2 linked regions of the Xenopus tropicalis genome follow. The protein of the gene in region 2 interacts with the protein of the main gene of each other region in a pairwise test. Links are inferred from orthologs where the notes say so. Each region holds a gene or a part of one and is shown on either strand. Other genes may lie near its edges.

Region 1 (4,147 bases), on a different chromosome or scaffold from region 2:
TTAAATAATTGTATATCATACACGGCCACTGTGCGTCAATCTAAAGGTGGTCATACATGGGCCAATAAAAGCTGCTGATGGTCTGAGACAGGCTACTGGACTAGTATCTGACCAGATGTCAATTGGGTAAGTTTAAAAATCCCATCGAATGAGGTACACATTAGTGCATTGATGTGGTCCTCGTCCCAACGGCCTGTATCCCATCAACATAATCATATTGTTTGACTGGAGGGTCAAATGATAGGATCAATGAGATATCAGGGAAATATCTGCTTCTGAGCATATCAGGCAGTGTCGGACTGGCCCACCAGGAAAACTCTTGGTGGGCCCAGGTGTAAGTGGGCCCTCCTGCTCATGACCATTTGGCCTGCTTCATGGTCATTCCCTATTTCTGAATGGGAACACAGAGGAGAAATAGATGGAAGAATAGATGCTAGCATGTAAATAAAAGAGACTAGGAGAATAAAGAGAGCAAAAGAGGAAAAATTGTTAGGAAAGTGGGCCCGGGGTCTAAGGTTTTCTGGTGGGCCCCTGGGGTCCCAGTATGACACTGATATCAGTGAAAGATTCGCTTCTTTTGGGACCTCACGGAGGAGGGGATAGTTCAACCTATGACCAGTTTATGGTATTTCCAAACCTACTATACTTGTGGGCTCTTTAGTACCATCCTGCTCTGCTGTCCACATTGTCACTCCAATTCAACAATAGAACACTTGGCAGTATGGCAGCAATCCAAGAGGCAATTAAGCAACTGTAGAGTCCAGGCTGCCTGGTTTCAATGTATCTGTGTATTTTCTCCATTGAGAAAAAAAAACATATAAGTTATAAATGTGTTTAACCAACTGAATAATCGCCCAGGGATCCTGTCAGGACAATTATATAACGAAAAGAAAATAAAACGCTTCTCCTCAAAGGCGGCTCGTTGGGACTTCTACATAAGGGGTTAAACAATGGGTCCAGAAATAGAAGTATATGCAAAGGCTCTTGCAAAGTTGTCTGTGTGTGAGCGTAAAGCTAAGGCGCAGCGAGGAAGGCGCTGGTGTGTGTGCGCCTGTATATGTACACATATATGTATGAACTGTAAAGGAGGAGCACCCTCCCTCTCCCTTCCACCCCCAGTAGAAGGAGGAGAGACTGGGAGGAGGAGAGCAGGGGAAACGCAGGGAGGGGGGTCCGTTCTGGATGCGCACTCGCACGGATGCTTGGCGCAGGATTGGCCTGCCTTTAAATCGCTTCTCCGCAGTTTATCGCTGTTTCGAATGCTCCGGCGGGGCGCACTTCCCATATAACCTTCCGATTGCCTCCCGGATCCCTGTGCCCTCACCATGCGTCTCCTTCGGGAGCCTCCCTGCGCCCTGGCCGACGGCAGCCAGCCCCGAATCGGAGCCCGGTGAAAGGGGACAATGAGCGGCGAACAGGAGCCAGAGTGAGTGCCACCTGTGTCCCGTACTGGTCTCTATTGCACCGGGATGGGTAGATTAGGCCTTTGGGATGCGCAGGGAGCGCTTTGCGCCGGGCTAGTCCCTGTGTGGATCCCATGCCCCAGCGCTGCACACTTGTGCGAGTGGGAATGCAGAGAGCGTGTGTGAGCGCATACAGGCAGAATGTGTGTTCTACTGTGCACTCCCCGACTCTAATCATGGGCACTGAGTGTGCAAGGGGATGGGGGACATAGTGGCCAAGTGCAATCAATGCTTTTCTCTATGTTGCCTCTCATGGGTTGTGGGCAAGGTATTTCTGGCTGGCTTGTCTACCTGTGTGTATGTGCCTGGAGCTGCAATTCTGCATGGGATAAGCTAGAGCTGTGTGAAAAAGTCTCCATGACTAAAGCACAGTATGTACTAATACTTGCATTATAATGTCAGTGCATCATACTGTATCTAAGCAATGCTTGGCAGGTGTGGCTTACACTATGGTATAATGGCCCATCTATCTATCTATCTATCTATGTATCTATCTATCTATCTATCTATCTATCTATCATCTATCTATCTATCTATCTATCTATCAAAAGTCTAGCATGTCTATCTGTATATTATGGGTGTATATAATATAACTATGCAAAGACACATCTCATAATTTATGCAGGCATTCTGTAATGTGAGTATATTTTTATTACATTACATTAACATTTATTTATAAAGCGCCAACATATTCCGCAGCGCTGTACAATAAGTGGGTTACATACATTGGACATACAGAGTAACATATAAAGCAATCAATAACCGATACAAGAGGTGAAGAGGGCCCTGCCCAAAAGAGCTTACAATCTACAAGGAGAAAGGGTTGAGACACAAGGTGTGGGAATGGGCATGACCAGAGTTGTGAGAGTATATATCAGATATTTTGCAGATGTCAAACCTGCGGCCCTCCAGCAGTTGCTTATATTCTCCTTTAAGTATCCTCTGAGAGCCGCAGGTTGGGCATAACTGCTTTGTGTGCTCACACAAACACGTATGTATGGGAGCGTGTGTTTGTATACATATATTCATATATATGTATATAAGTGTGTATATTAAATATATGTGTATGTTTATATATATAGCTATTGCATCATTGTATTGTTTATGTATATATCATGTTTGTGTTTGTATATGGTTTGCAGTTGATTTTGTGCAGGTGTACAACATTTACATATTTGTATATGATTTTCATGTGGAAATTGTTTATTTGAGAAGGTCTTCATCAGTGACCGTAGAGTGAATTTCCCTATTTTAGAAAAGATGGCTATTTTTTACTGTATCCATGTGCGTGCAATTTTTTCTTTTTTTGCATGATTTAACGAGGCGGCCTTATTATGCTTCAACAATGTACCACATTCATATATGTGTGCCTTGTGCTGTCAGTTATTATATACATTTGTATATGTGTCGTTGTATGGCTATTTTTTTGTCCATGAATGGTTATATATAATGCAGAAAGATGAGCACACCCTCAAAATAAATCAAATGCCTGGGTGCCAGTAATACATGGTTATTTTAGAAAGTACAGAAACACCAAAGTGAATGCATTGGTTCCAATGCGTTTGATTGCACGTTTAATTTCTGTTTTATTTCACTTTAAATATTGTGATTCATAGGATATATACGCCAAAAGTATTTTAGTACAATTGTGATTCTGACAGCACAACTTTTGTGTAACCCTGTTCAGTTCTGCTGATTTATCAGCCTGCTGATAAGGTGAATTGAACTATGCACCTTGGGCTTATTAGTGTTCACATTTGCTACAATAATTTCTACATTCGAGCTTCAACTCAGTATTATTCTATTAATATGTGATATTTCTACAAACTGTTCTGGGATATATTTGCATTATTTTATTGTACCAGGGCAGGTTGCATAGTTGCCATTTACTCTCATGTGGGAAATGCACCGTTCTGTTGCCATCCTGGAGAGTACAGTTGATTGAAAGGTGTTGGACAAATTAGCCTTTGCGTAGGGCCACTTAGGTAAAGCAGGGCTATTTGACCTTTTTCCTTTTTAGCTGTTGCTCAGCTCCCAGCATTATTAGAGTGTAAGCTTTTGTGAGCAGGCCGCTCTAATCCTACTGTTTCATTCTGTAGCCTCTACAAACCATACCCTTTTACAATTTGTAACCCTTGTTTGATATATTTTGTAAAGCAATGTGTAACTTGCCAGAGCTATATAAATAAATGATGAGGAGGACTGGTAAATGCTGGAAATTGTAGGTCAATAACAGCAGTAAGGCATGTTTCTTGGACAGGTGAGCTGCTTTTCTGCTGGCAGAGGCACTGCACCACCAAAGACATCTTTGTAGCATGTTCATTGTAAGCTAACGTTTATTATTATATGTAAATGTGCTTATCGTTATATGTCATATGTACGTACATTATTCTGCAATATGAGCAATTGCTGTGCAAATTGGTGTGTGCGATTATTAACACCAGAAATATTATAATTTATGTAAAAATTACTAGGCATATTTCATAGCTGGATATAATTGGGGCACAATGCAAATAATTGGATGCAAATGCAACCTGTATAAATGGTGAAAGGTCCCTGTTTACAAGAGCTTAGGCTTATGGCACACAGACATTTTGATTACCACTCTTCTCCCAGAAAAAAGGAAGCAGCAGTGAAACTACTGGCATTGCTACTGGTCACTTCTCATTTAATACAGTGCACTG
Region 2 (4,413 bases):
TTTCCAGATTATAAAGTGAAAAAGCTGCACCAAGCCAGAAAACAAACAAACCCCCTTATTCCAGCATTTTGCAAATTTACCCAAACACATTGGTAGGAGAAATCAAGACAATTTGAATTACTCATGGAATGTTGTAGCCACTAGTGATGACAGTATTTTGGATTTCAAGTTTAAATACTTTCATTTCATACATGACAATTGATTTCACTATCTCATCTTTTACAGTTTCCTCTTCAGTAAAAAAATAAATGTTGTTTTAATGCCACAAAGTATAATCTGAGTGCTTGGTTCAAAGAAAATATCAACTAAAGTGGGCCAGTACAAACAATTTTAAAATTAATCAGAAATAAATAAATTACTAAATTCTGTACACAAGAATCCCCAATATTATGTATAAAAATGTTATTACAAACACTATCTTTTGCTTCCTAGAAAATCACACTGATGGTTTATGAAGGTAGATGAGAAATGTACTGGCATAAATAGTAGCAAGAGCCTTTTTTTTTGCTTATTTAGAGAGAGATTAGTTCTACTGCTCATTTAACAGCTTACCACTGGAGAAATGGCACACTAAAAACACATAGTGCATTAATGCAGCTGTGTTTTCATATTTGGGAAGCACCATAGAGACTCTACTGGTATACTCTGTTAGAGTTCTAACCTGTTGCATTCTTTAGGAGCTTGGTAATCCTGAGCTTTTCAGCCGAATCATGATGCCCCTCTGTTAAATACTTCTCACCGTTCCCTTGCCATTTACTTTTGAGAAGCAGTGCCGCTTATGCTTACCTTAAGTGCATAGACAAGTAATCGACCTGCTCTAGCCACCACTGGGATCAGGCTACCTGCTCTTAATTACATCTCTTTAATGCTCAAGCCTGTGCTTCTTGTCTTGATCTCCCTTCTGTCCTAGTGACCCTCCAGACCTTTTGCACCCCCCTTTTCTTCTCATGCTCTCTGGGAGGGCAAGTCATTAGAAGATCAAGGGCTAAGGTACATCATTTTTCAGCATAATGAAATGCCACTTGTCTTTTCACCTCTACTTGAGGTTACAAGGTAAAGATGGGTCATAAGAGAAATAAGAGAATAGCACTGAAATTATATTCCCTACGGCCTGACTAAAAGAACCCTCTAGATTCTTTTGTGTATTCCGACTGATGTTTCTCTATAAGCAAACAAAGCTATTATTATACCTGCTTTTGATGTTACCAAGATTGCTATTTGTAATTTAGAAGCAATAGTTTGGTAACAAACAATATACATAAATGACGGAGTTTGAAATAATACATTACAAATAAACTTGTTGATAAGCTTTATGATAGATGCAACTGAAACAAGTGCATTGTGCTTTACAACCATGACCAACAGAGATGTGAGTGATTAGACACTGTGCTTGAGTGACAGACTGCACAGTCAGCATTTCTTACCCCTCAACCCTTTACTATCTGAGTCCGTTAATCATACCCACTTACTCGGCTGCAGCATGAGGTAATGGGCCTTGTGTCCAGCCTTGCTCTCTGAGATGTCGGATGGGAAAACATACAAATACTGACACCTAACAACCGAATAGGCACAGAGCACACGCCAACACATTCAACAATAATAGTGATCTTATCCTGCGTGGGAGGATTTTTTCAATTTTTTTTAACTAGCATACCAAAAACATTAGAAAATGATGTATGTGTAAAATGTAGAAGCCAAACTGCTAATGTCAAATATCAGCGATATGAGAACGGAAACAAATGATCATAAAAGTTTTAGATTGTACTTGTAACGTATACCCTAAAGGCATCTCAATAAATATGATTCCAATTGTCCGGCAGCCTTTTTTTTGCTGGTAAAATAACCCCTTCTGTAAGTTAAAGAAGGGGTTAAATGTCAGCAACTGGTCATATCTATCTATGACTTGGCAAAACAATGAGAATGGCAGGGATGGCAGCAAGAAGTAGTGTCTTCCTATACAGAATGACAGCAGCATATTAATGACTTGCTAATGACCTCCCTCTGGAGCTATGTGCTATTATCAGCTGAGCACAACAACACAACAAAACTTTTGGAACTTCCTATTTTGCAAAGGAGGGGGGGGGGGGGTTGGAAACACAAGTGATAGAAAGTTTCTGACTGATACATCTTCTCCATGATAAATAGCTCCCAACTGCTCACACCCCCCTCACGCAGAGCATAACTGCCCCCTTGTCACGGCAGGACAGCAGAGACCCCTCATTGTATAGCAGATAACAATAGGCTGCAGATGCTGCTTGTACGAGCCAGTTCAAGGTCTTGTGTCAAATTCTAGCGCAGGGTCCCCATTGCTCCGGGCAGCACTTAACCCGTTAGAAGCCGCGGTGGAAGCGCAAAGAGAAGCTCCTAATATAGCCATGCCCAGTAGCACAGCGACTTGAGCACCTGGCAGGGGCACCGCCACGACCTGTTATGTGACAGAATCACAGTTGAACCATACCGGGAACACGTGACTCAGCCTTCACCCAAAATCTCTTCTATACTGAGTAGAAGAATGTTGCTTTAATTCGTTCAAAGCTGGCACCAACAAATATTATCTCCCAATAATAACTAATATTAACTTACCCAAATGAATGTAGAAGATGAGGAATAAGTGTGCAGGTTTGTATGTCTCTGTGAGTGACAGGCACTTTGGTTCCCAGGGCTCCTCTCACTGGAGGCTGTGGTGCAGCAGGTAAAGTGAGCACAGTGCTAACTTATTTGGCTGCAGCATGTACAGGGCAAACACTTGGAGAAGCGAACTCTTCCCAGGCTGCTTAGAGACTCTCCGTTTCTTTCTAGAGTGGGGGAGTGACTTCCCCCTGCATCACACATACACAAGCAGTTTTTAAAGACACAGTGCCATGTACTACAAAGGAACCACGTTGGACTGAGAGAAGATTACAATACTTTCTATTTAGAGAAGCATTACATCACCCTTTGGTGACGTCACGTGGGATTCCTGAACTTCTAAATCATAGCAGTCGGCTGAGGGAGGGGGGTGTGGCGGAGGGGCGGGGCCGGCGGGAGAGAGAGAGAGAGAGTTACGTCCCGGGGAAGCTGCTGGAGATTGCTGTGGTGCCTGACAGAGCGGGGCTGAGAGAAGTGCCTGGGGCTGCTCGCAAACACTGGCCTGACAGGGGCTGCATCACTGTCTCAGGGTAATTGCCGAAATGCTTATGTGTTTGTGGGAGATGCGTCGTGCCGGGCACTCTGCAGAGCAATGGGAAAGTTTTCTGAACGATCCGGGGGAAGAGCTCAGAGCAGAAAGGACCAACCCAAAGCCGAGCAGAAATACGGATTCAGATTGCGCTTTTAACGTCGGAAAAACACTCGCGAAAGGGCCGCCAAGGGTTAAATAAAAGCCAAAATTATTATTAGGCGGTTGGACCCCTCATGTGGAGAGGGTCGTATCTTAATCCAGCAGCTCCATAAATCCGCAAGTTAGCACACTGAGGGTTAATATTCACTTTCTTAAGCCTAACAGGGCAGAATGAAACTGACATAAGTTCTTAATTTGTCCATCGCACAGGCAATAGCTAGTTATTTTTATTTTATTTAGTAGAAACAATTTTTATGGTAATTCCCAATTACTTGGCGTTACCATAGCTAGAGCATTACTGTCCATTTAGACTGGTATGTTTGTCCTTTAAAATAATAGCCTTCAGTGACTGGTATGCAGGTAGGGATATCAGTGGTTACTGCAAAGTAAACTTAGATACGGCTAGCAACCCCCAGATAGCAACCCCCAGATAGAAACCCCCAGATAGCAACCCCCAGATAGCAACCCCCAGACCTGTGACCTCTGCCTGCACTGTAATGTCAGATCTCAAATCAGTGGCCCCTGCTATCAGCTCTGATTCAGGGGCTGCTGCCTCACCTCCCATGGAACGGAAATTAAGCTTTTAAAAATGTAAAGTTAACAGAGGTGGGTTTTTGCTGCCCCTGGTAAATGGCTGCTCGCTACCACAATATTCTCACCTTGCCTCATTGCAGGAGTGACATTTCATGCAATGTGCCCCTGTATAGGACTGGCAGTCCCCAGACCTTTGGCTCCATCTAAATACACCTATATGAGTAGCAAACCTAGACCAGTGTCATCTGCCATGGACAAGGGCATTGGGCCAACCCCCCCCCCCCCCCCAGTGGCCCATGGATATGGCTAGTATTCTCCAGGCATGTGGCCCCCCACTGCATACACTGATATGAGTAGCATACACTAGATAGGGGCCCTAGCTATGTGCAATATAATGTGACAGAAATCAGACCTATTGCCCCTGCCATGTGCATCTGCTTATGGGTAGGAGACCCAGACCTGTGGCTCCTAATTCATGCACTAAAATGTAACGAAAGCACTGATAGAAGTAGTACACTCCAGCCAAGTGGCTCCTCTTATGTGCAAGAGCATGTAATAAA

What was found.
Region 1: the proteins of creb5 (region 2) and spred1 interact in binary tests that used the Homo sapiens proteins (3 or more experiments, as listed by UniProt). The link is inferred for Xenopus tropicalis from reciprocal best matches to the Homo sapiens genes CREB5 and SPRED1.

What each region holds. Positions count from the first base shown.
Region 1 is NC_030684.2:110,838,730-110,842,876, reverse strand, and holds the start of spred1 (sprouty-related, EVH1 domain-containing protein 1), read left to right. Parts: upstream 1-1,268; 5' UTR 1,269-1,403; coding exon 1,404-1,426; intron 1,427-4,147. UniProt on the Homo sapiens protein: Tyrosine kinase substrate that inhibits growth-factor-mediated activation of MAP kinase. Negatively regulates hematopoiesis of bone marrow.
Region 2 is NC_030682.2:42,850,900-42,855,312, reverse strand, and holds the start of creb5 (cyclic AMP-responsive element-binding protein 5), read right to left. Parts: upstream 2,914-4,413; 5' UTR 2,584-2,913; intron 1-2,583. UniProt on the Homo sapiens protein: Binds to the cAMP response element and activates transcription.